Callithrix jacchus: one gene and its partner. The protein of the gene in region 1 purifies or fractionates together with the protein of each later gene. This does not show direct contact. Links are inferred from orthologs where the notes say so. Each region holds a gene or a part of one and is shown in the gene's direction. Other genes may lie near its edges.

The links.
Region 2: the proteins of PA2G4 (region 1) and NCL purify together in Homo sapiens (affinity purification with mass spectrometry; 3 studies listed by BioGRID and IntAct, with this or other methods). This does not show direct contact. The link is inferred for Callithrix jacchus from reciprocal best matches to the Homo sapiens genes PA2G4 and NCL.

The regions. Positions count from the first base shown.
Region 1 is NC_133510.1:63,548,421-63,563,733, reverse strand, and holds the end of PA2G4 (proliferation-associated protein 2G4), read left to right. Parts: intron 1-96; coding exon 97-166; intron 167-433; coding exon 434-526; intron 527-2,060; coding exon 2,061-2,124; intron 2,125-2,364; coding exon 2,365-2,443; intron 2,444-3,266; coding exon 3,267-3,345; intron 3,346-3,426; coding exon 3,427-3,560; intron 3,561-3,837; coding exon 3,838-3,932; intron 3,933-4,058; coding exon 4,059-4,186; intron 4,187-4,352; coding exon 4,353-4,406; intron 4,407-6,226; coding exon 6,227-6,292; 3' UTR 6,293-7,309; downstream 7,310-15,313. UniProt on the Homo sapiens protein: May play a role in a ERBB3-regulated signal transduction pathway. Seems be involved in growth regulation. Acts a corepressor of the androgen receptor (AR) and is regulated by the ERBB3 ligand neuregulin-1/heregulin (HRG).
Region 2 is NC_133507.1:152,897,886-152,913,917, reverse strand, and holds the start of NCL (nucleolin), read left to right. Parts: upstream 1-9,211; 5' UTR 9,212-9,351; coding exon 9,352-9,369; intron 9,370-9,781; exon of another isoform or gene 9,782-10,003; intron 10,004-10,440; coding exon 10,441-10,572; intron 10,573-11,695; coding exon 11,696-12,164; intron 12,165-12,856; coding exon 12,857-13,054; intron 13,055-13,159; coding exon 13,160-13,246; intron 13,247-13,283; exon of another isoform or gene 13,284-13,353; intron 13,354-13,428; coding exon 13,429-13,570; intron 13,571-14,592; coding exon 14,593-14,717; intron 14,718-15,648; coding exon 15,649-15,772; intron 15,773-16,032. UniProt on the Homo sapiens protein: Nucleolin is the major nucleolar protein of growing eukaryotic cells. It is found associated with intranucleolar chromatin and pre-ribosomal particles. It induces chromatin decondensation by binding to histone H1.

The DNA.
Region 1 (15,313 bases):
GGGGCAGGTCGGTCAAACTGTTTTGAAGCATTTTTCTTTTTTAAAGTATTTACAAAGTGCTAGTTCCTAATGCAGTACTCTGATCTTGCTTTTCAGTGACCTTGGGGTCCATGTGGATGGCTTCATCGCTAATGTAGCTCATACTTTTGTGGTTGATGTAGCTCAGGTAGGTGGCCTGCTTTTGAGCTCTGTTTAGCTTTGGGGATGGGGGGAACGAACTGCCATTTGCTTCTTATCCCCACCCCCAATCACCACATAAGTTGAGAGAGTCTCTAGAGAAGCAAAAGGAGAAGGATAAAGGTGTTTTTTTTTTTTTTTTTATTCTCCTGTTCATTAGCTGGCCTTCACATATGGGCTCACAGATATTAACCAGATAGCCAGCTGAGTTAACAAGCTTTCCAGGAAGACACTGATTGCATGTCCTTATCTACAGGGGACCCAAGTAACCGGGAGGAAAGCAGATGTTATTAAGGCAGCTCACCTTTGTGCTGAAGCTGCCCTACGGTTGGTCAAACCTGGAAACCAGGTAAGCTATTTTATCCAGTTCCAAATTATAAAACAGCTTTTAAAATTAGCTATATTTGGCTGGGCACAGTGGCTTATGTCTGTAGTCCCAACACTTTGGTGGGGCCGAGGTAGGAGGATAGCCTGAGGCCAGGAGTTCAAGACCAGCCTGGGAAACATGGTGCAACCCCGTCTCTACAAAAAATGCAAAAATTACTTGGGCGTGGTAACGTGCACCTGTATTCCCAGCTGCCAGGGAGGCTGAGGTGGGAGAATCAGCTGAGCCTGGAAGATTGAGGCTGTGGTGAGCTATGATCACACCACTGCACTCCAGCCTGGGTGACAATGAAACTATGTCTTAAAAAAGAAAAAGGAAAAATAAGCATTTGCTGTCTCCACAAAACTGATAACAATGCCAGGTATAAAAGGATTAACACTGGACTTAACATCAGAAAACCCAGGTGTAGTGGCATATACCTGTAAATCCAGCACTTTGGAAGGTAAAAGTGAAAGGATTGCTTGAGCCCAGGAATTTGAGACCAGCTTGGGAAACACAGCAAGACCCGTCTCTACAAAAAGAAAAAAGAAAACCCAGGTTTATGACCAAGTTCTTTCACTTAACAGTCATTTAACCTGGGGCAAATAATTTAACCTGAGACTCAGTTTCCTTGTCTTCTAGATTGGGATATACATCTGCCCTGTTCACTTGCCAAATTTATCAAATTAGACCATCTTTGTGAAAGCACTGGGTAAAATGATATGCAAATACAGCTGTTCCTCGGCTTGATGGCGCTTTCAGTAGAAGTTATGCTTTGAGTACCCATACAACCATTCCATTTTTCATTTTCCACATATTTTGTAAATTACATGAGATAGTCAACACTATTATAAAATAGGCATGTTTTAGATTCTGCCCAACTGTAGGATAATGTTTTCTAAGTGTTCTGAGCACACTTAATGTAGGCAGGCTATGATGTTAGGTAGGTTAGGTGTATTAAATGCTTTTTGGGTTTTTTTTGAGATGGAGTCTCACTTTGTCGCCCGGGCTAGAGTGCAGTGGCGCAATCTTGGCTCACTGCAACCTCCGCCTCCCAGGTTCAAACGATTCTTTTGCCTCAGCCTCCTGAGTAGCTGGGATTAGAGGGGTGTGCCACCACACTAATTTTAGTATTTTTAGTAGAGATAGGGTTTCACCATGTTGGTCAGGCTGGTCTCAAACTCCTGACCTCGTGATCTGTCCGCCTCAGCCTCTCAGAGTGCTGGAATTACAGGCATGAGCCACTGTGCCCAGTTAAATGCATTTTTGATTTAGTGATATTTTCAACTTACGATGAGTTCTTTTGAGATGTAACCCCATTATAAGTTGGGAGCATCTATATAAAGTATTTTTAGATTGTAAGGATAATCGAACTATGAAATGAAAATCCAGTGAATGAGAATCATTAGTACTGGATGGAGGATATTAGAAAGCTCAGTTCTTTTATGCTTCTTATTCGCATTGTAGAGAACTTATTAGCTCCTGATATCTCACCTTTTGTTTGATGTTGTACTTCTAGAATACACAAGTGACAGAAGCCTGGAACAAAGTTGCCCACTCATTTAACTGCACGCCAATAGAAGGTGAGAACAGTTAACAGGGTTGAGGGTCTAAGAATGAGTGGCTTTGCAGAATTCAGACTTTTGCTCCCTTGAAGATTTATCCTGGCTATAGCCCAGTCAAAGCCAGAAATCTCAGAGCCCTGTGTTTCCATAGCCAGGTACTTTCTCACTGCCTGCCCCTTCAAACTACTGAAGTGGGTGGATTTGGAAACCTTTTGGGGTTCTGGATAGCTTGTTCCATAGGCTATGTCCTGTCTACAGGTATGCTGTCACACCAGTTGAAGCAGCATGTCATCGATGGAGAAAAAACCATTATCCAGAATCCCACAGACCAGCAGAAGTAGGTGCCAACCCCACTCATCACCTTCTACCAAACTAGTCATCAGACTTTTTTCTATACTCCCAGCTGAATCTTGTCTACCTTCTACTCCTTGCTTTCAGGAGTGACCTATTGCTCTTAATATTCCCGTTCTCTAGGCCAGGCGTGGTGGCTCATGCCTGTAATCCCAGCACTTTGGGAGGCCCAAGCCAGTGGATCACCTGAGGTGACCAGTTTGAGACCAGTCTGGTCAACATAGTGAAACCCTGTCTCTACTAAAAATACAAAAATTAGCTGGGCATGGTGGTGTGTGCCTGTAATCCCAGCTACTTGGGAGGCTGAGGCAGGAGAATTGCTTGAACCTGGGAGGCGGAGGTTGCAATAAGCTGAGATAACGCCACTGCACTCCAGCCTGACGACAGAGTGAGATTCCATCTCAAAAAAAAAAAATATCCAGGTGTGGTGGTATGCACCTGTAACCCCAGCTACTCGGGAGGCTGAGGCAGGAGAATCACGTGAACCCGGGAGGCGGAGGTTGCAGTGAGCCAAGATAACGCCATTGCACTGTAGTCTGGGCAACAGTGTGAGACTCCGTCTCAAAAAAAGAAAATTCTTGTCTGTGAAGAACATGAAAATATAAAAAAGAAAAAAAATACAAAAATTAGCTAGGCGTGGTGGCATGCAGCTATACTCCCAGCTACCCAGGAGGCTGAGGCAGGAGAATTGCTTGAACCCAGGAGGCGGAGGTTGCGGTGAGCTGAGATTGCGCCATTGCACTCCAGCCTGGGCGACAGAGTGATACTCTGTCTGAAGAAAAAAAAAACCTTCTCTGTATTCCTTTTAGGAAGGACCATGAAAAAGCTGAATTTGAGGTACATGAAGTATATGCTGTGGATGTTCTCGTCAGCTCAGGAGAGGGCAAGGTGAGGAGAGTACCACAGTTGGCAAAGAGGGGTGACTGAAAGTGTTTGCCAGACCAAATATTTCTTAAATTACTCTTGCAGGCCAAGGATGCAGGACAGAGAACCACTATTTATAAACGAGACCCCTCTAAACAGTATGGACTGAAAATGAAAACTTCACGTGCCTTCTTCAGTGAGGTGGAAAGGCGTTTTGATGCCATGCCATTTACTTTAAGGTACTACACATAGCAATGATAGTACTTGGAACCAGTCTGACTCACAGACCATACACCCAGGAACACTTTTTCCTCTCCCTTCCTGCCTAGACTTGTAGCGTGCACGTGCTCACTCCCTCCCTCTCTCTCCCCATCTCCTTCTCACTGAAGGTAATGTAAAAGAGCAATCCTAAGCATGATTTCTGCCTGAGGGTAGGAGCTATTTTAAAATATGAGCAAAATGGTAAGACTTGATGGGGAGTTAAGAATACTTCTGAATATCATCTTCCCCTGCCAGAGCATTTGAAGATGAGAAGAAGGCTCGGATGGGTGTGGTAGAGTGCGCCAAACATGAACTGCTGCAACCATTTAATGTTCTCTATGAGAAGGAGGGTAAGTTCTAAAAAGAGCTTCACTTTGGATTCCCTGATTATATGATATCCTTCATATAAGTTCAGAAGACCTAAGTATGACAACAAAGGAGTGTTTTATCAAAATACATCTTCATTTTTGCCATAGGTGAATTTGTTGCCCAGTTTAAATTTACAGTTCTGCTCATGCCCAATGGCCCCATGCGGATAACCAGCGGTCCCTTTGAGCCTGACCTCTATAAGTCTGAGATGGAGGTCCAGGATGCAGAGCTAAAGGTTAGTATGGAATAGAAGGTGGTGAGGATGTATATGGTACCTGTCCTGGGAGTGAGGGCTAAATGCCAGCAAAGTCCTAAAAAGAGCTACAGTACTGAAAGTAACCCTTTTTTAAAAAATTTCCTCCACATTTCTCAAAATTTGTTTCCTTCTTCCTGTTTTCCAGGCCCTCCTCCAGAGTTCTGCAAGTCGAAAAACCCAGAAAAAGAAAAAAAAGAAGGTGTGTTGTGATCATCCCTCTCTGGCAGGGTGAACCTGATCCCTCTTTCTCCCATTGTATTAGGTCATGGTGGGATACGGATTTTTGTACAGATATTCCTCAGCTTAAATGATAGGGCTTTGTCCCAGTAAACCCATCATAAATTGAAAGTAAGTCAAAATGGATTAAAAAAATTTTTTTGGCCTGCTGCAATGGCTCACACCTGTAATCCCAACACTTTGGGAGGCCGAGGTGGGTGAATCACCTGAGGTCTGGTGAGACCAGTCTAACCAACATGGTGAAACCCCATCTCTACTAAAAATATAAAAATTTAGGGGCCAGGCGCGGTGGCTCACGCCTATAATTCCAGCACTTTGGGAGGCCGAGGTTGGGTGGATCACGAGGTCAAGAGATCAAGACCATCCTGGTCAACAAGGTGAAACCCCGTCTCTACTAAAAATACAAAAATTAGCTGGGCATGGTGGCGTGCGCCTATAGTCCCAGCTACTCGGGAGGCTGAGGCAGGAGAATTGCCTGAACCCAGGAGGCAGAGGTTGCGATGAGCCGAGATCATGCCATTGCACTCCAGTCTAGGTAATCATTCCATTTTTTTGGAACTCCGTCTCAAAAAAAAAAAAAAAAATTAGCCGGTTGTGGTGGTGGGCACCTGTAATCCCACGAGAACCCAGGGAGGCCGAGGCGGGTGGATCACGAGGTCAAGAGTCGAGACCATCCTGGTCAACATGGTGAAACCCCGTCTCTACTAAAAATACAAAAAATTAGCTGGGCATGGTGGCGCGTGACTGTAATCCCAGCTACTCAGGAGGCTGAGGCGGGAGAATTGCCTGAACCCAGGAGGCGGAGGTTGCAGTGAGCCGAGATCGCGCCATTGCACTCCAGCCTGGGCAACAAGAGCGAAATTCCATCTCAAAAAAAAAAAAAAAAAAAAAAAAAAAAAAAAAGAGAGAGAGATGATCTTACTGTGTCACCCAGGCTGACGTGTAGTGGCATGACCATAGCTCACTGTAGTCTCAAACTCCTCCTGTGCTCAAGTGATTGTCCCACCTTAACCTGCTGCGTAGCTGCCACCATGCCTGGCTCCAAATGGATTTGATATACCTTAACCTACCAGGAACCTCAAAGCTTAGCCTGGCCTACCTTCAGTGTGCTCAAAACACTTATTCAACAAATTATCATGTATCGAAATATCCATATTTTCACACTGTTGTGAAGTTGAAAAATCACAAGTTGACCATTGTAAGTCAGAGACTTATATATCTTTATTTCAACTGTGACCCAGAGGATTGAGATACTTTTTTAGCTGAGGGTGCGGTGGTTCACAACTATTATCCCAATGTTTTGGGAGGCCTAGGCAGGAGTATCACTTGAGCCCAGGAGATCAAGATGAGCCTGGGCAAGATAGTGCAACCTCATCTCTACAAAAAATACCAAAAAAAAACCTATACATGGTGGCATGTGCCTATAGTCCCAGCTACCTGGGAGGTTGAGGTGGGAGGATTACCTGAGCCCAGGGAAATTGAGGCTACAGTGAGCCATGATGTACCTCTGCATTCCAGCCTAGGCGACAGAGTGAGTCTTTCTCAAAAAAAAAGTCCAGGCACAGTGGCTCACGCCGCCTGTAATCCCAGCACTTTGGGAGGCTGAGGTGGGCAGATCACCTGAGGTCAGGAGTTCAAGACCAGCTTGACCAACATGGAGAAACCTCATCTCTTAAAAGAAAAAAAATTAAAAATAAAAAACTTGTATCTCTAGTCCCAGACACTACCCCCCAAATAGTTAGAAACTGCCACATCTTCTCCCTCTCCTTTTCTTGCATATAGGCCTCCAAGACTGCAGAGAATGCCACCAGTGGGGAAACATTAGAAGAAAATGAAGCTGGGGACTGAGGTGGGTCCCATCTCCCCAGCTTGCTGCTCCTGCCTCATCCCCTTCCCACTACACCCCAGACTCTGTGAAGTGCAGTTCTTCTCAACCTAGGACCGCCAGCAGAGCAGGGGGTCTCCCTGCCCCGACCCCAGTTCCCCAGCCCACTCCCTTCCAACAACAACCAGCTCCAACTGACTCTGGTCTTGGGAGGCAAGGCTTCCCAACCACGGAAGACTACTTTAAGTGAAAAAAAGAAATTGAATAATAAAATCAGGAGTCAAAATTCATCGTCTTCAAGCCCCTCTTTCTAGCCTTTTCTACTACTGTCTGCTTGGTCAAGGTTTGTAGCCCTACCACAGAACAGGGCTAAATTAGCCACCGCCACTGAAAACTCAGCTGAATTTTTTTATACCACTCTGACATCAGCGTTTTTCCATCTGTTTGGGGCTTTTTCCTCTCTTTTTCCCATTTTCCCCAAGTATTTTATCTGGCTTCAAAATTAGGAGGATTATTTTTTCAGATTGTTTTTATTCAGTGTGGCCAACTCCTCATCTTGATTCAGGCCGTCCAGTCAGGCCCCTCCCATTTTAGGAGTTGGAACCTTGATTTATGAAGAGATTCTCATCTATGAAATGGATCCTCATTTGTAAATCTTTGTTCTTCCATTTTCACAAAGCTGTAAAGAAATAATTCATCTCAACCTTACCCTTTTCTCTGGAGTCAGTGGGGTCTTCCCTCACTCCATCTTACACAAACCTGAGCTGGAAGCTCAACTGGTTTTGTTCCCTGTTTGAAATATTGTGATCTCCCTCCCTTGAAAGAAAAAGGAAGAACCAGAGGAGTAGACTGAAGATACAACTCCTGGCTTTCTGAAGCTATGGACTTGGATTGGATTGCTGGGGGTTTGTAGCGAAAGGTGACATATTTCAGTACCTCTGGCATGCTGTCCCAGGAAACTAGGGCTCCCACTAACTTATGAGGTTTTTAAACACATTGAAAATGACATGACATTAAAATAAATTTGGATTTGCTCATAATGTTGTGCTTTGTATGCTGCTTTGATAGAGGTGGGGAGCATGTCAGTTGAAGTAGTACTGGAACTTTCTCCAGTGCCATGATCTACCTTCCTAAAATGAGGAATGTCTTGACTTGCAGAAGACACAAATCCTAGAATCTTTGATGATATAGTAAATTATCTGCTGGAGTTGGGTGATGTAATTTTCTAAGTAGAAACGGTCCTCTGCTAAGATTTGTTTGGGGTTAGGACACTTAATATGTATTGCAAGAACAGCACTACAAATGTTTATCTTGATTCAGGAAGCCAGGAAGAATGTCTGGTACGCTAGTTTTCAGGGCCAGACTTGAGGTCAGATGGGTAATTAGTTTATCTTGTTACATGTCAGGCATTGTGAACAGAACTGAACATAGGACAAATGTGAACATAGGACATATCCACCATTAAAATACACAGAGCAGTTTCAGAGCCCTAAAAATCCTCTGTGTTTTCCCTGTTCATCCCTCTCTGCTTGATTACACATTTATCTGAAGGCAAACAATGTACAACACCAAGAGTGGACCCTAGTGTAAACTAAAATATGGATCTGGAGTGATAATGGTATGTCAATATAGGTTCAGTTGTTAAATGTACCACTCTGGCAAGGTGGAGGGATGTTTATAAAGAGGGAGGCTAGGCCGGGCACAGTGGCTCAAGCCCGTAATCCCAGTACTTGGGGAGGCTGAGAGGGCAGATCACAAGGTCAAGAGTTCCAGGCGAGCCTGGCCAATGTGGTGAAACCCCGTCTCTACTAAAAATACAAAAAAAAATCAGCCAGGTGTGGTAGCATATGCCTGTAATCCCAGCTCGTCAAGAGGCTGAGAGGCAGGAGAATTGCTTGAACCCAGGAGGCAGAAGTTAAAGTTAGCCGAAATCGTACCACTGCGCTCCAGCCTGGGTAACAGAGCAAGACTCTGTCTATAAATAAATAAATAAAGGGGAGGCTATATGTGTGGGAAATATCTATACCTTCCTCACTTTTGCTGTGAATCTAAAACTGTTCTAAAAATTTAAGTCTATTAAAAAGAAAGGGTGGGGGGGTGGCCGGGCGCGGTGGCTCATGCCTGTAATCCCAGCACTTTGGGAGGCCGAGGCGGGTGGATCACGAGGTCAAGAGATCGAGACCATCCTGGTCGACATGGTGAAACCCCGTCTCTACTAAAAAAATTTAAAAAATTAGCTGGGCATGGTGGTGCATGCCTGTAATCCCAGCTACTCAGGAGGCTGAGGCAGGAGAATTGTCTGAACCCAGGAGGCAGAGGTTGTGGTGAGCCAAGATCGCGCCATTGCACTCCAGTCTGGGTAATAAGAGCAAAACTCCATCTCAAAAAAAAGAAAAAAAAGGCTGGGCACGGTGGCTCACACCTGTAATCCCAGCACTTTGAGAGGCTGAAGAGAGCAGATCACCTGCGGTCAGAAGTTCAAGACCAGACTGGCCAACATGGTGAAACCTGTCCTAAAAATACAAAAAATTAGCTGGGTGTTGGTGGCACACACCTGTAGTCCCAACAACTCGGGAGGTTGAGACAGGAGAATCACTTGATTTGCTTGATAGAGGTGGGGAGGTGAAGGTTGCAGTAAGCTGAAGTCACACCACTGCACTCCAGCCTGGGTGACAAGAGCGAGATTCTGTCTCAAAAAAAATTTCCCTCAAAGAGCTTATAGACTAGTTGGCAATCATCAATTGGAATCCTGGTGGAATTGATACAAAATAATTCTGCTAGGATTTTTTTTGTTTCAAAAAATTTGTCATATATAAGGCAGGGTACAGTGGCTCATGCCTGTAATCCCAGGACTTGAGGAGGCCAAGGGGGGCAGATCACAAGGTCAGGAGTTTGAGACCAGTCTCACCAACATAGCAAAGCCGCGTCTCTACTCTCTACCAAAATACAAAAATGAGCCGGGTGTGAGGCAGCAGAATGGTTTGAACCTGGGAGACTGAGGTTGCAGTGAGCCCAGATCCTGCCATTGTAATACAGCCTGGACGACAGAGTGAGGCTCCATCTCAAAAAAAAAAAAAAGTGTCTCGGCCGGGCGCGGTGGCTCACGCCTGTAATCCCAGCACTTTGGGAGGCCGAGGTGGGTGGATCACGAGGTCAAGAGATCGAGACCATCCTGGTCAACATAGTGAAACCCCATCTCTACTAAAAATACAAAAAATTAGCTGGGCATGGTGGTGCGTGCCTGTAATCCCAGCTACTCAGGAGGCTGAGGCAGAAGAATTGCCTGAACCCAGGAGGCGGAGGTTGCGGTGAGCCGAGATCGCACCATTGCACTCCAGTCTGGGTAAACAATAGTGAAACTCCGTCTCAAAAAAAAAAAAAAGTTTTTCAGAAATTGAAAATGAAATGCTAGAAATATAATAAAGGAAAACCGCAAAAAAGGAGGGATTGTAACAATCACATACAAAATGTTACAGTATGTTAAACTATAAAATGTTGTATGTATAGGGAAAGCGTTCTTTTTGTTTTTCTTTTTTTTTTTTTTTTCCGAGACGGAGTTTCACTCTTATTACCCAGGCTGGAGTGCAATGGCGCGATCTCGGCTCACCGCAACCTCTGCCTCCTGGGTTCAGGCGGTTCTCCTGCCTCAGCCTGCTGAGTAGCTGGGATTACAGGCATGCGCCACCATGCCCAGCTAATTTTTTGTATTTTTAGTAGAGACGGGGTTTCACCTTGTTGACCAGGATGGTCTCGATCTCTTGACCTCGTAATCCACCCGCCTCGGCCTCCCAAAGTGCTGGAATTACAGGGGTGAACCACCGCGCCCGGCCCGAAAGCGTTGTTTTTCTTTGCTTTTCTTTTTTTCTTTTACTTTTTTTTCTGAGATAGAGTCTCGCTCTTGTCCAGGCTGGAAGTGCAATAGCATGATCTGGGTTCACCACAACCTCCACATCCCAGATTCAAGCGATTCTTCTGCCTCAGTCTCCCAAGTAGCTGGGATCACAGCCATGTGGCATCACGCCCAGCTAATTTTGTATTTTTAGTAGAGATAGGGTTTCACCATGTTGCCCGGGCTGGTCTCGAAGTCCTGACCTCAGATGATTTGCCCGCCTCAGCCTCCCAAAGTGCTGGGACAACAGGCGTGAGCCACCGCGCCAGGTCAGGAAAGGGTTCATTAACTGAAAAGTTTCCTGTAGCCAAATCTTATGGGATCTGGTTGTTTTCCAGTGCTGCTCACCCGAGTATACAATAAGACTGGGAAGTTCTTTATCTTAACACCAAATGTCATACTTCTAGATTTAGCTAATTTTCTCCCTATGTCCGTTGGTTCACTCTTCACCCCTAGAGAACCACTGCATAGGTCACTGCAGCCGCGACTTGCTGGGCTCGAGATTCCCCCACCTCAGCCTCCCAAAGTGCTGGGATTACAGGTATGAGCCACCGTGCCCCGCCGCTTATGTGTTTTCTTAACATAGCCATGCATTGTAGCCAGGATTCCCTAGTGATATTTTGCTTCAGGCATCGTAGGGAAAGACCATAGTCAGCTATTTTATTCCTGAAGTTTAGGGAAAAAAATTGCTCTATCTTAAACAGTGAGAATATTTTTTGCAGTACGGCAGCTTTCCCGACTCCCCACTTTATATCTTCCTACGTTCTGAACTCTTGGTACCATCGATAGTTCCGGAATCGAATCACCCTGCAGCAATTTATTTTAGAAAATAACGTAAACCGGCTGGGCGCGGTGGCTCATCCCTGTAATCCCAGCACTTTGGGAAGCCGAGGCGGGAGGATGGCTTAAGTTCAGGAGTTCGAGACCAGCCTGGGCAACAGGCGAAACCTCGTCTCTACTAAAAACACAAAAATTATCCAAGTGGCGTTCGCCTGTAGTCCCAGCTGCTCGGGAGGCTGAGGCTGGAGAATCGATTGAACCTGGGAGGCGGAAGTAGCAGTAAGCCGATATCGCGCCACTGCACTCCAGCTTAGGTGACAGTGAGATCCTGTCTCAAATAAATAAATAATAAAGAAAAGAAGACAAACCAGTAAAACAATAATTTCTGTACAGTCCGCGCCTTTCCACAGCAAAATGGAGGACTTCTCCAAGGAACTGCAATTCCCAAGAAACAATGCGAGGGAAAGTGGCGGTCACTATTATATTGGAAATAGGTGCTGACGTTTAAATAACACAGTGTCCTCGTACTAAATCTGGTGGGGTGGGGAACTGGTAACTCCAAAACCAAATTCTCTGTCTTCCGGAGAACACCTAACCCAACAGTCCTTCGCTAAGAGGGGCCGAAAACCTTTGTTACGCCCATTGGGTAGCCCCGCCCGGTGGGGGGGAAAAAGGGCGGGAAAACGGAAGTGACGACACCCGGCGCTCTATTAAATAGCTGTAGACGGAACTTCGGCTTTCTCTCGGCCTTAGCGCCATTTTTTTTTGGGTGAGTGTTGTTGGTTTCTGTGTTCGGATTCCATGTACAATCCTTTGACATCTGATCTCTGCACTTACCATCATCACAGCAAACTAACTGTAGCTTTTCTCTTTTTCTCCGTAGAAACCCCTGCGCCATGAGAGCCAAGGTGAGCGGTTCCTGGTATTAGGCTTGGGAAGTAGGAGTTGGCGAGTAGTAATGGGAGACTAAGGCAAGGCAAGTCCGCCATAGTTCCTGAACTACAGGTTTTCAGGGGTGCCCAAGAGTTGATGGGAGAGGAAAATTAGTGAGAGAAGCTGAGAGGCTAGTGGCTAAGTGCTATGGGGAAAGAGAGTGGGAGTTGAAAAAGGTATAATTCGGATTTTATGTTGGGAGGGTGTCCAAGTTACTGATGTAGTTGCTACGACCAGTGCTGCATACTTGGTTAAGAATCTGTCGGGTTCTAAAGAGTGCATTTCATATCCCTCCTAAACCCACTAATAAGATTCTTTTTTTTTTTTTTTTTTTTAATTCTCTGCTGTTTGTGATCGGTTGCTAGTGGAGGAAGAAACGAATGCGCAGGTATGTTGAGACTGCCAGTCCAGGAGAAGGGAAGGGGGAGTGTTCCTTGGACGAGAAATATTTGATTTGGAAATCTTAAAACAGCTTTAGGAGAAAGACGTTTGAGTATTTTCTTCTTAGAGCAAAGGATTGAACAGAACAGAGGACGATAGAATCGTAATGCTTGTTCATTTTACCACCTCGTGCATTCTAAGCACGTTTGATTTAATGTGGGAGGGGAAGACAACTCTGGTTTAAGAATAGAAAGTGTATTCCATTCCTGTGTCTGCTTTTCAGGCTGAAGCGCAAAAGAAGAAAGATGAGGCAGAGGTCCAAGTAAACCGCTACTTGTTGCACCGTGGAGGCCACAGGAGCAGAAACATGGAATGCCGGGCGCTGCTGATGCTGGTACAAGTTGTGGGACTGCATGCTACTGTCTAGAGCTTGTCTCAATGGATCTAGAACTTCATCGCCATCTGATCGCCGATCACCTCTGAGACCCACCTTGCTCATAACCAAAACTGCCCATGTTGGTCCTTTGCCCTGGACCTGTGACATTCTGGACTATTTCTGTGTTTACTTGTGGCCGAGTGTAACAACCATAAAATAAATCACCTCTTCCGCTGTCTTAGCTGAAGGATTAAATCGTCTCGTCTATTACGTGTTTTTTATGGTTCCATCGGGTCGGGGTTTTCTATCAGTACAGTTTGCCCTGTCCCTACCTGTGCTATGGAGGATAGAAAGGCAAAAGCCAGGGTTAAGTGGTGTGGTTTGCACCTGGCTGGAGTTGGGTAGGGTATGGTACGCCCCTGGAGGCACGTTTTAGGTTGCGTGCGTTATTAGGCGCTGTTGGTGGTACCGCCCTTGCTTTCCAGTAGGTCTGCCATTCAGAATACCGCTTTCTGGACTTGATGTCGTGCTTTTGGGTTGGGTTGCTATGGTGACACGCAAAGCGTGCTGGGAACTTCCTGCGATATGTCGCACGCCTACTTCGTACACCATAGAGTATGGTTCCGGGTCTGGTGGCTAGAGCGTCACTTCTTCCGCAGGAAGCGGAAGAGCGTTCGGGTGGGCGGCTCTTTGTCGAAGCTAGAGGACCGGCAGGCGGCAGCAGCAACTACGGCGGCGGCGGCAGGTGAGGGAGGCGGGAGACTTAGGTGGAGGCCGCGCCCGGAGGGGAGGAGTCGGGCCAGCCCCGCTGCTGGGCTCGGCCGGGCCGCACAAGTCCCCCCAGAATCGAGCTGGCTCTTCCTCACACCCCAGGGCAGTGCCCCTTTTCTGACTGACCCCGCATCGCGAGCAAACGCCAGCTTCGTGACGTCACAGCTCTGCCCATCCCCTCAGCTTGATGACACCTGGAGCCCCATCTCTCCGCTTCACTTCGCGCGCCCTTAGTGTCCCATTCACGTAGTCCATGGCTGAGCGCCGGCGGCACTGCACGGAAACTGCCAAGCTAGAAGACTTGCTGCGGGAAAACTCCTAGGACTTTTTTCGCAAACTCTAGGGTGTTGGGAAGCGTCACAATCACTGCCCCCAAGTCTAATCGGCCATTCCACTGCACTGTCAGACGCTGCCCTTTTAAGGTTCCTCACTTGGCATTACTAACTCCAACCTTTGGCCGCCCTCTGACCCTCACATCCTCTTTCATCTTGAGGCAGGGCGCCCCACACCCTTTGTTCACTCAGGGCTGGTTTTCCAACCCATCCTCCCAGCCCTTCCGAATTAGTTTTATCTTTTACTCTGCTTACTGGCCACTTCTCCCTTGGACAAGTGGAGAAGCTCAGTTTGAACACTAAGGAAATCCTAACGTTTCCAAAGCTTTGCCGTTTTGTTAGATTTCTTTCTTGTGACAACCACTCCATCGAGTGGAGGACAGCCACCTCCACTCTTACTCCTTCTCCCACCCAAGTCTCTGTTTTTTTCCTGCCCAGAACCCAGCAGTGATGTGGAGGTGGAGACCCACAGGAGCCCCGGACTTCACCTGAGCTACCTCAGGTATCAATTCTGGGACAGTTGGGTGGGGTGGAGCTTCATATCTAATTATCTGCTGCTGGTGCGACTTGCAAGGTGAGCCACGCTTGGGTAGATGCCATTTGTACTTCACCTGGTCATTCCCCTTTACTAAAAGTTTGTATCTTCTTTTATCACTTCTTTCCTTGATTGCTTCTGTTATTCTGGGACTACCTCCCTTTAGAGGAAGAGGGCCCTTTTATAGATTCACATGTAACTCTGGCCTCTGGTTTGGTTAGTTCATTTTAGGGAGAGCTGAAGGCAAAGTCACAGCAGTGGGGTGGGGGTAGGTCAAGACCAAAGTAATCAGGAAAGATTCTCTTATGATCAAAGGGAACAATATGAAGTTTTCCTATTTCAGCAGCAGGGGGAGCCTGAATACCATATAGGAAAGGCTTGGGAGGTCAGACACGTGGTAGCAGGGACTCCAGGTCTTACTAGGGGTGGAGAGCGGGGAGGGCTAGAATCAGGGCAGTGGACTGACATTCCAAAGCTCTCTTGGGAAATAGGAGACTTAAAAAGCTTTTATAGAGTCTATAAATAAAGAGGATCTTTATGGGGTGAGGAATGGTGTGGTTGGATGTCAGTGGGATCTCCACATAGGGGTGAGGAAGGGGGTGGGGCGTGGGGAAAGGTCACTTGTTCCTTTGAAATTAACTCCTTCCCACCTTGACCTTATCACAAATGGTTTGTCCTGGGAAGTCTAGAAGTGGAGATTCTAACTTAGAACTCCTGCCCTGCAATGGAGGGAGCTGACCTCTCTGGGGTAGATAGTGATGATGGCTGGGAGGGAATATTAAAATATGACAGGTTTCGAGACTGCCCTCAAGCTGGTGACACCAGTCTCTTCACTCAGGATTTTGTGGCTTCTAGAGATGTGATATGTACAGAGCCCTTACCTGAAGAAAAGGAAAAGGGGATAAGGAAGTTTTGTTACCAGTGTCCCATCTTCTACAACCCTAGTAGCTCAGCAGCCCATCCTGGGCACTATTCCTAGTTCCCAGACTATTCAGATACCAACCACAGTTTTAATTTCACTTCTACAACTTTAATAAGGTCAGCTCA
Region 2 (16,032 bases), on another chromosome or scaffold:
CTGCCTCAACCTCTCGAGTAGCTAGGATTACAGCCACCACGCACAGGTAATTTTTGTATTTTTAGTAGAGATGGGGTTTCACCATGTTGGTCAGGCTGGTGTCGAACTCCACACCTCAGGTGATCCACCCACTTTGGCCCCTCAAAGTGCTGGGATTACAGGAGTGAGTCACCACTAAATTATCTCAATTTTTATTATCTAAATTATCACAATTTTTAAAATTTGTGATATATGATACTAGATGTATACATGAAACAAATATTGTTAAATTAAATAAAATGTACTATCTAACTATTTTTAAGTGTATAGTTCAGTAGTGTTAAGTATAGTCACACTGTACAACCTATTTCTAGAACTTTTTCATCTTGCAAAACTGCAACTCTCGGGCTGGGCATGGTGGCTTATGCCTGTATTCTCAGCATTTTGGGCAGCCAAGGTGAGAGGACTTCTTTCTTTCCTATTTTTTTTTTTTTGTTGTTGTTGTTCTGTTGCCCAGGCTGGAGTACAGCGGCCCCATGTCAGCTCACTGTTCACTGCAACCTCTGCCTCCTGGGCTCAAGCCAGCCTCCTACCTTAGCCTCCGAAGTAGCTGGGACTACAGGAATATGCCACCACACCTGGCTAATTTGTGTTTTGTTTGTTTTTTTGAGATGGAATTTCCCTCTTGTTACCCAGGCTGGAGTGCAATGGCACGGTCTCAGCTCACTCCAACCTCCACCTACCAGGTTCAAGTGATTCTCCTGCCTCAGCTTGGAGAGTAGCTGGGATTATAGGTGCCCACTACCACACCTGGCTAATTTTTATATTTTTATTAGAGATGGGGTTTCACCATGTTAGACTGATCTTGAACTCCTGACCTCAGGTGATCCAACACCCTTGGCCTCCCAAAGTGCTGGGATTATAGGCGCCCGGCCCCATCTCTCTTGGAAAAAAAAAAGCAGCAGCTCACAGTGGAGTGGGGAGACGGGAGCATAAGTTTGCTCACTTTTGAGTGTTGTGCAGCTGGTGCAATAGCATGAGGAGGATCTGACCCAGCCTGGGGATTACAGGGAGGACCCCAGGAAGGTGGTTGAGGCTGGAAGACCAGGAGGCTGGAGATGGAGGGGTTCATCTCGGGCAGGGGAAGGAGCACAAGAAGAGGTAGAGGTGGGATAGAGCTCAGAGGACCACCTGGAAGAAGACGGGTGGTCCAGTTGGCTTGGAGTCTGGGCATAGGAACAGGACTAGGGTGTGAGACAAGTGAGGCAGTTGTCTTACATACTGAATTTAAGGCCCCAAATGTCAATGATCAACATAATATTTTAGTGCAATATTTAAAAATAAAAATTAATGCAAGAAAATCCATGATGAACTTATCAAATTTTAAATGACAGGATCAGTGACTGCTGTGCAAGCCACAGTACATCCCGAGGCAAGAGAAATGTCAGTGATAGTGATCTGTGTTCATTTAAAAATCTGATTTTAGGCTGGGCACAGTGGCTCACGCCTGTAATCCCAGCACTCTGGGAGGCCAAGGCAGGCAGATCACTTGAGGTCAGGCATTTGAGACCAGCCTGGCCAATGTGATGAAACCCCATCTCTACTGAAAATACAAAAAAAAAAGGCAGAGTGCAGTGGCTCACACCTGTAATCCCAGTACTTTGGGAGACTGAGGCGGGTGGATCACTTGAGGTCAGGGATTTGAGACCAGCCTGGACAACATGGTGAAACCCCGTCTCTACTATAAATACAAAACTTAGCTGGGCATGGTGGCAGGTGCCTGTAATCCCAGCTACTTGGGAGGCTGAGGCAGGAGAATCATCCAACTCAGGAGGTGGAGGTTGCTGTGAACCAAGATCACGCCACTGCACTGCAGCCTGGGTTGATAGAGGGAGACTCTGTCTTGAAAAAAAAAAAAAAGTTAGCCAGGAATGGTGGTGGGCCCCTGTAGTCCCACGTACTTGGGAAACTGAGGCAGGGGAATCACTTGAACCCAGGAAGTGGAGGTTGCAGTGAGCTGAGATTGGGCCACTGCACTCCAGCCTGGATGACAGAGCAAGACACCATCTCAGGAAAAAAAATAATAATAAAATTAAAATAAAATTCTGATTTTGACGGGCGCAGTGGCCCACGCCTATAATCCCAGCACTTTGGGAGGCTGAGGAGGGAGGAATACTTGAACCCAGGGATTTGAAATCAGCCTGGGCAACATGGCAAGACCTCATCTCTACAAAAAATTAAAAGATAGCCTGGCATGGTGGAACATGCCTGTATTCCCAGCTACTTGGGGGCTGAGGTGGGAGGACCCCTTAAGTTCAGGAGATAGAGATTGCAGTGAGCCAAGGGACACCACTGTACTTCAGCCTGGGTCACAGAATGAGACTCTGCCTCAAAAATATAAGATAAATTTCTGACTTTTTTCATTATGAATTTTTCCTAGTAATTAAAAAATATTGCAGTTAAGGCCGGGCGCAGTGGCTCACGCCTGTAATCTCAGCACTTTGGGAGGCCGAGGCGGGTGGATCATGAGATCAAGAGATCGAGACCATCCTGGTCAACATGGTGAAAATTAGCTGGGCATGGTGGCGCGTGCCTGTAATCCCAGCTACTCAGGAGGCTGAGGCAGGAGAATTGCCTGAACCCAGGAGGCGGAGGTTGCGGTGAGCCGAGATTGCGCCATTGTACTCCAGCCTGGGTAACAAGAGTGAAACTCCGTCTCAAATTAAAAAAAAAAAAAATTGCAGTTAAATATTATTTATCTCAATGATTGAGTTTTTAAGTGTTGTGCCTGAGGCAAGTGCCTTACCTCACCTCAGACCCCCTCTCTGTAGCAGGAATGGGTTTTCTTTGAGATGGAGTCTTGCTCTGTCACCCAGGCTTGTGTGCATTGGTGCGATCTGGGCTCACTGCAACATCTGCCTCCAGGGTTCAAGCAGTTCTCCTGCCTCGACCTCCTGAGTAGCTGGGATTACAGGTGTCTGCCACCAGGCCTGGCTACTTTTTTGTATTTCTAGTAGAGACGGGGTTTCACTATGTTGCCCAGGCTGGCCTCAAACTCCTGACCTTGTGATCCACCTGCCTCGGCCTCCCAAAGGGATTATAGGAGCAAGCCACCATGCCCAGCCTCACGGACTTTTCAGTGGTGGATTGAGACACTTGGATTTTCTCTTGCTGGCTGTCAGAAGTCACTGAAATCCCTCAATTAGAAGAATGTGTTTGTATCTGCTGCTGAGGAAAACTGATGTGGCTGCCGTGTGGTGGGTTAAGATACAGGCAAGACAGGTCAGAATGGCTATGTTAATCCAGGCAGGAACTTGAGAAGGGGCAGTAAGAGAGGGGCAGTGGAAAGCAGAGTGGACCCATTCCAGAGACACTCGAAGTCCAGGCCAGGGGAAGCCCTGGGTCTGGGAGTTGAGGGAGAGGGCAGGGTCTAGACAATGCTACCATCTGAATGCTGGTGTCCCCCCAAATTCATATGTTGAAAGCTAATCCCTAAGGCAAGAGTATGAAGAGCTGGCGCCTTTAGGTGATCCGCTCCTGAGGGCTCCTCCCTCAAGAATGGGATTAGTATCTTATAAAAGGGGCTTACAGGGGCCTTTGGGTTCCTTCTGCCTGTGAAGAAGCAGCAAAAAGGGCACGGTCTAGGAGAGAAGCCCTCGCAGACCCTTTGATCTTGAACTTCCAGCCTCCAAAACTGTGAGCAACACATTTCTGTTGTTTAAAAGGGATCCCATCTAATGTGATAGCAGCTCCAGCCGACTAAGACAACATCCCAGCTCTTGGCTAGGCAAGCTGGGAGCTCTTTTTCCTTTACTGAGGTAGGAAAGACAGCAGTTCACGGGTGGAAGAGGCTGAAATCAGAGTGGAACACTTTACTTGAAGTCTGAAGTTTTTTTTTTTCCTGAGAGTAAGTTTTGTTCTTGTTGCCCAGGCTGGAGTGCAATGGCACAATCTCAGCTCACCACAACCTCTGCCTCCCAGGTTCAAGCAATTCTCCTGCCTCAGCCTCCTGAGTAGCTAGGATTATAGGCATGTGCTGCTACACCCGGCTAATTTTGTACTTTTAGTAGAGACAGGGTTTTTCCATGTTGGTCAGGCTGGTCTTGAACTCCTGACCTCAGGTGATCTGCCCTCTTCAGCCTCTCAAAGTGCTGGGATTACAGGTGTGAGCCACTGCGCCCGGAGAATCTGAAATTTTATAGGGCACCAAAGGGAGCTGTCTGCCAAGCCACTGGGTTACTGAGGAAGAAAGTTGCTCCTGAAGAGCCCCTGAGCTAGGCACCATCAGATGACACTGCCCACAGGAAGGAGGAGCTGCTTGGAGGAGTGGCTCCAAGTAGGTGGGGTACACACAGATGGTAGCTGAAGCCACTGGATAAGGGGGTTACCAGTGAGAGAATGTTGAGAAGAGAGAGGGTGGCAACACTCTTCTTTGAGGAGAAGCTCCAAGGAGGATGCACTCAAGAGACAGAAGCTGCAGAAGGGTCAAGAGAGATAAGAGATAAGGTCTGCAAGGTGTCCTTTGGCTAGAGGGTGTCTGCAGAAGGCAGGGGTGAAGGCCACTTGCAGGGGCTGGGAACCTGGGGGTCCTAGTGGAGCTGCGAGCAACTGTTGTCAACTCTTCCCAGGAGCTTGTTCCTGCAAAGGGCAATGGAATGGAGGGAGGTATTGGAATGGCAGGTGGCAGGCCAGGCACAGTGTTACGCCTGTAACCCCAACACTTTGGGAGGCCCAGGCAGGAGGATCACTTGAGCTTAGGAGTTTGAGACAAGCCTGAGCAACATGGCAAATCCCTGTCTCTATAAAAAATACAAAAAGTAGCTGGGTGTGGCAGGAAACGCCTGTAGTCTCAGCTGCTTGTAGAGCCTGAGGCAGGAGGATCACTTGAGCCTGGGAGGTCGAGGCTGCAGTGAGCTGTGTTCATACCACTGCATTCTGGCCTGGGCAACAGAGTGAGTCTCAAAACAACAACAACAAAAAATGGCGGGTGGTAGCTGAGGAGGTCACTGCTGTGGGACCCCCAGGAGGGGTGAGGAGGGGCTCGCTGGCACAGGAGAAGGGGTGCTTTAGAGAAAGACTGGTTTCCTTGGGGTGGCAGGGAGCGCTCAGGATGTCTGCGAATATATGTAAACCAGAGGGTGGGTCTGTCCTTCCCTTTGAAGGAGAAGATAGGGTAACTCTGTTGACAGAGAGGGCAGAGAAGGAGAGATGAGGGGTCTGAGGGAAGAGGCCTGGCATAGAAGGCCAAGGAGATGGAAATGAGAACGGTCAGGACCTCCTGGAAGATGATCTATCTGGGCTAGCAGCTGGGGCTGCTACCAGGGAGGCTGCTGGGAGGGCAGGGCATTTGGAGGCCCCAAATCTGCATCATCCAGATTCTCTCCAGCAGGGCCCCACCTCCTAGATGGAGAAGCCTGGGAGGTGCAGCAGGGAAGTTGGGGATAGCAACGATCTTGGGCCCTCAGTATCCTCCTCCAGCAGGCTCAAGGGCCTGAGGTTGGTGGCAGGGGGCTGACTCTACCTCTGGGTGAGCAGGTGAAGCTTCTCAGGCTGCCTCCGGAAGACAGAGGCTGGGTTCTCTAGCTCTGGCCCCTGAGACCTCAAGGCACAGGTGCTTCCTGAAGGGGAAGGCTTGCTAATACCCCAAGCAAGGCCTGGCAAGGGAGGAAGAGCTTGGGGTCCCCCTTTGGCATCTGGGGGAAAGTGCTGGGGAAGTTCTGGGTAGTATGCACAGGGCCTCAGTGAACTTGAAAGACAGAAGCAGGCTGGGCTGGTAAACGGACCTTCACAACAAACACCCCAGGCCTCAGGCAAACCTGGAGCTCTGGAAGCTGAGGCTGTGGTCCTCCCAGCCAGCTGGGGTGCCCAGCCCTGTCCTGCTCAGCCACCATGGTTGGGGCTCACCCTGCAGGCTTTGTGAGCTGGATGCTGGCTGAATCTGGCCAGCCCCACCTGCAACTCAAGGGGAGGAGCAGGGGAGACACAGGATATCCCCACCTTTGGACCCTCTGAAGCTTCCCTGGCAGCAGCCTGGCCCCTCATCATGGCCCTCAGTGGAAAAGCCTGGAGTAGGGGGTAGCTGCTTCCTGCTCAGTCCCCTTGGCTTCTCATCAGCAATTCTATCTCATGTCACCACGTCCCTGCACTAAACTCCCTTACTCCGTCTTTTTAAAATACTCAGTGTGGTTTTTCTTGGCTGGTTGGAGCCTAACCGAGATACTTAGTTCCTAGAGCCCCAGACCTGGGAAGTGGAGTTAATCCTTGGAAGCCTGCAGACCCCCTCCATTGGGCTGTGGGACCCTAGCATGAATGTGAGGCCCACTATGGCTCACTGAGTCTCAGGGACCAGAAGTGCCCACTGGGTGCCCCAAGTGGGTGCCTTGCTACACAGGTATAGGGAGGGGCAGCCAGGCCACAGCAGCAGGCAGAGTTGGGCCAGGTCAATGCAGGCCTGGAGAGGCAGCCAGTGACCACTCAAGGCAGTGGTACCCCTGGAGCTTCTGGGCTGGTGGCTGAGGCTGTCACATTCCCCACAAGAATTAGAACCATGGTCATACCCCTCCCCACCATCTAGTTCCTCCTCTGCTAAATGTGAAGCACTGTCTCCCAGCCTTGGAGCTCACGGGCAGCAGATAACCCAGTACTTGGGAGAACATCTATCAAATGTAAAAGGCCATACTCTTGACCCAGCTGTTCTACAGATGATTTGTGTAAAATAAAGCATGTGAAAAGGTTATTTGCTATAGCAGTTTGTAATGGCCAAACATAGCAAACAACCCTAAATGGACCAGCAAGGGTGACTAGATAAATTGTGATCCTTCCACACAAGGAACACCATGTAGCTATTTAAAAAGAGGCAGCTCCATGTGTGTTTATGTAGATGAGTTACAAGATACACATAGTTAAAAGGAGAGTTCAGAACAGTGTATATGATAGCGTTTGCATTAAATATAACAAATACACTTGTCTATTTGCAAGTATGACTGAATCTGGTAGGATATACAATAGACTGGCACTGCCTTGAGACTGGGAATCCTAGAGGACAGGGAGGGAAGGGAGACTTCATTTACTGTACATCTGTTTGAATCTTTTGAATTTGTACTATGTGTGTACTTTACAATTCAATAAATAACTCACATTTTCAAAACAAAAGAGCATTTAGAAACAAATAGGCCAGATGTGGTGGCTCTTATCTATAACCCCAGTGCTTTTGGAGGCTGAGGCAGGAGGACTGATTCAGCTGGGAGGACTGATTGAGCTGGGGAGGTCAAGGCTGCAGTGAGCCATGATCCTGCCACTGCCCTCCAGCCTGGGTGACAGTGAGATTCTGTCTCAAAAAAAAGAAAGAAAGAAAGTGGAATGTCGCAGCAGTGTCTTCACTTACATCCTACTCCACTGCTAGCTATGTGACCCTCGACAAGTTAATTTACCTCTATGCCCCAGTTTCTGTAAAACAGTGATACCTTTTTGGAAAGGTTATTTTGAAGAGCAAGTGAATGAATATGTGAAGAGATGGAAGAACGCCTGGCCTGAGTCAGCATTATGAAGTGTTAGATATTGCTATTTTGCTGCCCCAGACTAACTCCAAAGCAATGCCACTTATGCGGGCTCTCCCTGCTGCTGCTTCTACCTAAATACTTCACTCATTTAGCAAACAATTTTCTTTTTTTGAGACAGGGTCCTTTTTTTTTGAGACGGAGTTTTGCTCTTGTTGCCCAGGCTGGAGTGCAATGGTGCGATCTTGGCTCACTGCAACCTCACCTCCCGGGTTCAAGCGATCCTCCCACCTCAGCCTCCAGAGTAGCTGGGACTCCAGGTGAGCTCCACCCTGCCCCCCTAATTATTTTTTTTTGTAGAGAGGGCGTCGCACTGTACCCAGGCCAGTCTAAAGTTCCTGGACTTAAGCAATCCTCCTGCCTCAGCCTCCCAAAGTACTGGGATTACTGGCATGAGCCAGCGCGCCCGGCCTTAACAAGTAATTTTCTTTCTTTTTGAGACCGAGTGTCGGCTCTGTCGCCCTGGCTGGAGTGCAGTGGCACGATCTCGGCTCACTGCAGCCTTCGCTGTGCCAGTTCAAGGGCCTCGTTCTCTCAAAGTGGTGGGATTGAAGGCGTGGGTCACCGCGCCCAGACTCAGGTGATTTTTAAACAAGTCCGGCCGTAGCTGCAGGTATCCTGGTTCTGTAGGAACGACGAAGTATGGACGGATCCACACCTGGATCTATGGATGGGAAGGATCTCAGGGAGGCCCTGGACGGAGGGAAATGCTCTGGTTTGCTAAGCCTGGCACCGACTGAGACCCACCCACAAAGCGACCCATGGAAGTCCCTGGCGGCCTCCTCTGCTCTGCCGCGGGGGAGCCCTGCAGGTGGCTCCCGACCTGCTCCCGGGCCATCTGGTGACGCTGACTTCGCAGCCACCACCTTAACTGGCGCGTAATACCAACCAGGGAACCCGTGGGCGGCCAGAGGCCCGGCTCTACGGTCAGCCCGCCCAGGCACCTCTCCCTGCCATGTGAGGCCAGAAAGTTACTTCTCCGAGGCTGTTTCCCGTGACCAGAAATACCTCCCGCCTGAGGTTCTGTGGGGTAGGGGAGGTTCGTGCACTTCTCACAGAAAACGTCGCACAGACCCGCCACTGCCTTTATTAAGAGCTCTCAGGAGGCTGCCTGGAGCCGAGGGTGTCTCCGGCCCCATGCTCGCGGGCATCAGGGCGAAGCTGTGCCCCCGAAAGGGCCAACGGGAACTCCGCGGTCCCTGAACTTCCGGCGCTGGAGGGCTCCTCGCTCAGGGCTGCCGGGAGCCGCGGCGTGAGTGCGTGCCGGGGCCGCGCGCGGGATCTCTGAGGCCTCGAACCTCAGGGCTGTCGGAGTCTAGAGATGCAACCACGCTAGAGAAACGAAGGCCGCCCGATTTACACCACCCCCGCGCTCCCCTCACACCCGGCGCCAAAAACGCTAGTCCCACGGCGCAGGCTGGGACCCGCGCGCCCACGGCCCAATCAGCGCGGGCCTTCCACAAAGCGAGCCCCGCCCCCACGCCGCTGCTGCCAGCACCTCCCCCTCCCGTGGCCGTCTCGGCCCGCCCATTCCCAGCCCCGCGCCGTTCTTGGTTAGAAGCTCGCGATTGGCTCATAGGGACGGCCGCGAGCTCTGGTTGGCCGGCGCGGAGTCACGAGGGCGTCGTCGTCGTCTTTCCACAGGCGATTACTGGGCAGGCTCTGTCTTTCGCCTCAGTCTCGAGCTCTCGCTGTCCTTAGGGTGTACGTGCTCCGGGATCTTCAGTACCGCGGCCGCCATCGCCGTCGCTTGGCTCCCTCTGGGCTCATCTGCGTCACTTGCTCGCTCCACACTCCGCCGCCATAAGCTGTCGTCATGGTGAAGCTCGCGAAGGTAAGCGGCCTTGAGTGCGAGCACCGAGATCTAGGCCTGCTTTCCGAGGGGTGAGCGCGGCGCCGCGGGGAGGAGGGCCTGCGCGCAGTCCCGGCCGCGTTCGAGGGCGCCATGCTGCGGGAAGTCTCGCGCGATTAGTGGGGAGGTCTCGCGGTTTCTGGCTACTTGGTGGCGAGGTGAAGAGCTTCTGCAGGTGTTGGGGGCGGCGAACGCGGCGGGAAAGACAGAGTCACTGAGCGCGGGGAGGGGGCGCTAGGCCCCGGGGCAAGGAGATGAGACCAGACTCATCTCGCGTACGAGATGCGACGCGTACGAGCTAGAACCCGACTCCTGACGCACGTGCCCGGGAGCGCGGCCTGCCACGTGGGCCTCGCCGCGTGGGTCCGGGAATCTCCAGAGGGAGTGGTGCGTTAGGGTGGGAAATGGCGGTATCGGCCCGAGTCGGAGGACCGGCTGCGCTCGGGATGTCTGCCCCTGCCCGGCAAGCCGACACGTGGTGGGCCCCGGAAGGTGGCTCTGCCGCGGTGTTTCGGGCACGTGGTGGCCTACCAGGTACCCCCACGTGGCCGCGCCGCCTCTTTTAGGGGCGGGGTTGTCTCGCTGGGAAAGGAATAACGTTCATCAGAAAACCAAGGTATTTTTTTTAAGTGCCTTAATGATCTTCACTCATAATTTGGATTTGGATTTGGATAAGGGTTGTAGAATAAGGTTCCGGGATTTGAAGTACTAAAACACGGGTGTACTTAGAAAGCCTAAGGAAAAAAAAAAGTCAAACCTACGGTAAAAAGTCAACCTGAAGAAATGATTTCTTCACTTCTTCAGGTTGACTTTTTACCGTAGGTTTGATTTTCTGTTTGTAGAGCCTGACAGCAAACATGTGTGGGCGGTTGAGAGCAGGACCTCTTGCATTGCCATTAGGGCTAGTTTTTATGTTAGTTGTGCTGTTTGGCCCTATGAGAAATGGATCTGAGGAAGGAGATGATGGCGTTTTACACTGAACAGTAATGGCAAAACGTGAATGGCCTGAAATGTCGAAGTGAAGATGTGATGATGTACTTGTTACCATTTTAGGCAGGTAAAAATCAAGGTGACCCCAAGAAAATGGCTCCTCCTCCAAAGGAGGTAGAAGAAGATAGTGAAGATGAGGAAATGTCAGAAGAAGAAGAGGAAGAAGAAGAAGAAGATGATAGCAGCGGAGAAGAGGTAATTTCATCCAACTCAATGCGGAATTAAGTTAAAACTACAAAATGGGGAGTTAGGACATGAAATTGGATGTCTATGATAAAAATAAGATTTTATTCATCTGCGTATCTCCTGTTGTAGTGATCGAGTGTTTCACAAGCTCTTCGTTCATGTCAAGATGTCATTTGGCTAAATATTTGAATGTGAGTTTGAGACAGATCTGGGGATCTCCTTTCCATGTGCCTCTGCAGGGCTTGGAGTGTGATTTGTTGTGCTGAATCGTTACATTTGTCCAGTTTCAACATGTTATCCTCACCCCCACATTTTAGACACAAGGGAAAGATCTGTTCTCTCAATGGCAGAGCTGGGCGTTGTATTCAGATCTGAGGATAACCTTACCAGATTCCTTTCCTAGGCTCCATTTAAGATTAATTGGTCTCTATTCCATTACACTACTCACTGTGTTACTGTTGTCTCTGGTGTAGACTGAGGGCTGCCACCGCCCTTTGTGTTAACGTTTACCCTCTAGCACTCCTGGCTATTTATTTGTTCGCTATGAAGACAAGTGAGGACTGAATTGTGCTCAGACTTCTCTTTGAGAATTGAATAAAAGTTACTTTTCCATACATTGCCTGATAAAACTAGTAATCAAAAAGCAGATTTCAGTGGGACTTTATTAATGTAGCTAAATGGTGGATTCATCGTTTTGTAAGGGATATTCAGCCTATTTGATCTTCATTTCATCTCGTATCTTAAGAATTGAGCTTCACCAAGCTTGGTACCAGCACCTACTGTAGGAGCCTCAGATGATTTAATAACAGTTAATGCTTGGAGCCTCCTATGTGTACGGTTGTGAATAATTTACACATAGCAATTCCTGTTCCTTAGACATGTAAGGATGATACTATTACCATTTTCAGGTGAGAAAGTTGGGATTTGGGAAAGTATGAGGTATGAGAATTCAGAGGTATTTTAAGTGTTCAGAAGGGTTCCTTATTCCTAGATATTCACCTGATAATATGGAGTTTAACATGGTAACGTGTGTCTAGGGCTTGTGGTCTTGAACCATAGGCATTGACAGAATCTAACACTAGTTGGGACCATGGTTGTCTTCTTACTGGTTTGGTTTTCATTTATTCTCAAGGTTGTCATACCTCAAAAGAAAGGCAAGAAGGCTGCTGCAACCCCAGCAAAGAAAGTGGTAGTTTCCCCAACAAAAAAGGTTGCAGTTGCCCCACCGGCCAAGAAAGCAGCTGTCACTCCAGGCAAAAAGGCAGCAGCAACACCTGCCAAGAAGACAGTTACACTGGCCAAAGCAGTCGCCACACCTGGCAAGAAGGGAGCCACACCAGGCAAAGCATTGGTAGCAACTCCTGGTAAGAAGGGTGCTGCCATCCCAGCCAAGGGGGCAAAGAATGGCAAGAATGCCAAGAAGGAAGACAGTGATGAAGAGGAGGATGACAGTGAGGAAGATGAGGATGATGACGATGATGAGGATGATGATGAATTTGAACCAGCAGTGGTGAAAGCAGCAGCTGCTGCCCCTGCCTCAGAGGATGAGGACGATGAGGATGATGAAGATGATGATGAGGAGGATGAGGATGATGAAGATGGTAAGGCGTTCTCTTGGTAGTTACTAGGCTTCTGTTTGCAAGTTATCTTGATTCTGGGAGCAATACTATGTATTCCTTCCACAACAACCTGGAGATCCTGGAGGTGAGATTGGAATCCTTGTGGGAATTCTCTGGGCTGTTGTGTGCCAGACTTAATTACCCATTAATGATTTTGTGCCTTGAGAAAATTTCAACAGCATAGTCTGATTGTTTTTCATAATACAGGATTTTGGTTCAAAGTGATTTTTTTTTTTTTTTTTTTTTTAAATTTTTTTGAGACTGAGTTTTTGCTCTGTTGCCATGGCTGGAGTGCAATGGCATGATCTTGGTTAACTGCAACCTCTGTCTCCTGGGTTCAAGCGATTCTCCTGCTTCAGTCTCCCAAGTAGCTGGGATTACAGGTGCCTGCCACCACACCTGACTAATTTTTGTATATTTAGTAGAGGTGGGGTTTGACCATATTGGCCAGGCTGGTCTCGAACCTTGACCTCAGGTGATGCACCCACTTTGGCCTCCCAAAGTGCTGGGATTACAGGTGTGAGCCACTGTGCCTGACCCTAAGTGGTCTACTCTTGCCATGACTATTAACTAACCATGGTGACAGGACTACACTTTATGTCCATTAGATTTTAAAACCGCTATTTATTTCTGGTGATTGCTGGAATTTTTTGACTAGGTGGCTTTTCTTTCAGACTCTGAAGAAGAAGCTATGGAGACTACGCCAGCCAAAGGAAAGAAAGCTGCAAAAGCTGTTCCTGTTTCTGTGAAAGCCAAGAACGTAGCTGAAGATGAAGATGAAGAGGATGATGAGGACGAGGATGATGATGAAGATGATGATGAGGATGAGGAGGAAGATGATGAGGACGAGGAGGAAGAAGAGGAAGAAGAAGGTAATTAAATTAGATTCTGACATACATTGACATGAGATGTTTAAAGGAGACACTTAAGTGTTTGTGGTTATTGATGGGTGATACATTGTTTGACATCTTGTCCAGAGCCTGTCAAAGAAGCATCTGGAAAACGAAAGAAGGAAATGACCAAACAGAAAGCAGCTCCTGAAGCCAAGAAACAGAAGGTGGAAGGTAACTTGCAGAATTGGGGGATGTGGGGGAGATAAACAGCACAAATGATGAATGACAAAGGGACTTAATACTGAAACTTGATGTTACCTTGCAGTGTGCTGATGTGCTGTGTATAGAAATTTTGCATTGGAAACTTTTTACCACACTTTACAAATAGACTGAGTTCAGCTTTTTTTGAATAGGCACAGAACCGACCACGGCTTTCAATCTCTTTGTTGGAAACCTAAACTTTAACAAATCTGCTCCTGAATTAAAAACTGGTATCAGTGATGTTTTTGCTAAAAATGATCTTGCTGTTGTGGATGTCAGAATTGGTATGACTAGGTAAGTGCTTCCCTGCATCTTACACATGGGTCTGTTAACGCCTTTCCCTCCCCTATTAGCACTTTAGCCTGGTGCTTTTAAACATGAATAATGTAAACATCTTCAAGGATTAGCATTAGTGAACTAAGTTAAAATCAAATTATAGAGCCCCTAAAGCGCAATTTTTTAATATAGGATAACTCTTAGTATAGGATGGAATAATCTTTAGTTTGTTTTTTTTTTTTTTTTTTTTTTTTTTTTGTGACAGAGTCTCATTCTCACCCAGGCTGGAGTGCAGTGGTGCAGTCTTGGCTCACTGCAACCTCCGCCTCCTGGGTTCAAGTGAGATTCTCCTGTCTCAGCCTCCCGAGTAGCTGGGACTTACAGGCATGTGCTACCATGCCCAGCTAATTTTTTGTATTTTTAGTAGAGACGAGGTTTCACCGTGTTAGCCAGGATGGTCTCGATCTCCTGACCTTGTGATCTGCCCACCTCAGCCTCCCAAACTGCTGGGATTACAAGCCTGAGCCACAGCACCCGGCCAGTAAGTTTTAATAATTTGGTGTTAGGAGCATTGCTTGAACCTGGGAGATGGAGGTTGCAGTGAGCCAGGATCATGCCACTGCACTCCAGCCTGGACAACAGAGCAAAACTCTGTCTCAATTTAAAATAATAATTTGATGTTTATTTTTTTGGAAGTACCTAAAACTGTTAGACTTGACTAGTCACAGTGAATGCTTTTATCCAGACAGGATTCTCCTGTATTAGTGCTTATAGGTGTTCTTTTCAGCTGCTGTGGTCAGTTGTTAGAAGCAATTTAGCTAGTAATGAGGACCTCAGAGGTGAATGTGCATGTCATATCTTCACACTAAGACCTTGTTCTGTAGCTACAATTTGCAGAGCCTTGACTTTATTTTGCTAATACCAGTGGTGCTTTTTAATGTGATCTTTGTTTGTACCATCACATTTGTCTGGAATACATATTGTGGATTTCGATTTGTGTTTTCACCTGTTGGAATTTTGCCCTCTTCTTCACCTCAAAGGAAATTTGGTTATGTGGATTTTGAATCTGCTGAAGACCTGGAAAAAGCCTTGGAACTTACTGGTTTGAAAGTCTTTGGCAATGAAATTAAACTAGAGAAACCAAAAGGAAAAGACAGTAAGAAAGGTATGTAGTGATTTAGGAGATGATGCAGCAAACCCAGGCGCTAGACTGCTAGGGAGAATGCTTTGGAACCCGTTTATTTATTTTTTTAAATTTTATTTTATTTATTTATTTTTGAGACGGAATTTTGCTCCCGTTACCCAGGCTGGAGTGCAGTGGCGCGATCTCTGCTCACTGCAACCTCTGCCTCCTGGGTTCAGGGAATTCTCCTGCCTCAGCCTCCTGAGTAGCTGGGATTACAGGCACGCGCCACCATGCCCAGCTAATTTTTTGTATTTTTAGTAGAGATGGGGTTTCACCATGTTGACCAGGATGGTCTCGATCTATTGACCTCGTGATCCACCCGCCTCGGCCTCCCAAAGTGCTGGGATTACAGGCGTGAGCCACCGCGCCCGGCTCCTTTTATTTTTAAAAAAATGTTTACCCTGCTTTCTTAATGCGGGATTTAATGAGTTAGTGTTTACAAGAGTACTCGGTGCTGCTTGCTAGTGTTACGGTGTAAATTCCTGAGTTAGGCAAATGAGCACTTTCATTGAGAATAAGATTAGATGCACCTAAATTAAAGGGTTCTGTCTTCACTGAAACTAGAGTAGGTCCCTAATTACGGTTTGAATCCTTTGCTTTTTTTCTCGATACAGTTGTAGTGTTTTAAATTGGTATATTCATTTTTTTGTTTGTTTCTAAAAATCATGCACATCTACTCTAGGTTGAACTCTAGTTTGAACAGATAGTTTGACATCAGCTGTGACAACATGGAGGGACCACTTGTGTGTTGCCACCGCGGTATCTCCATATTGAGCACAGAGCCTTGTATATCATGGGATCTCAAATTATTTGTTGAATAGAGCTATGTCTGTTTTTGCCCCACTTTTATTGTCGCTAAATGTTCAGGGTTTTTTTAGGCCATACAGCTAATTTTTATTTTTTAATCTAGAACGAGATGCGAGAACACTTTTGGCTAAAAATCTCCCTTACAAAGTCACTCAGGATGAATTAAAAGAAGTGTTTGAAGATGCTGCGGAGATCAGATTAGTCAGCAAGGATGGGAAAAGTAAAGGGTATGTTCTGTCTATTGAAATGTTGGGGTTTTTAAGGTTTTTACAACATTAACGCACTTTCCTGCATTAACAAAAGAAATGTTGGTTTGATTTTCTTAGGTGTAATCGTGGGCCATTTAATCTGTAAACCTGTGCCTCAATTACCCATCTGTACTGTGGGGATAACGTACTCATAGGGTGATTTTAAAAGACAAGCTAATACATATAAAGGAGCAAGAAATGTGCCTAGCTTATAATAAATAAGTTTTGTAAGTAGTAGC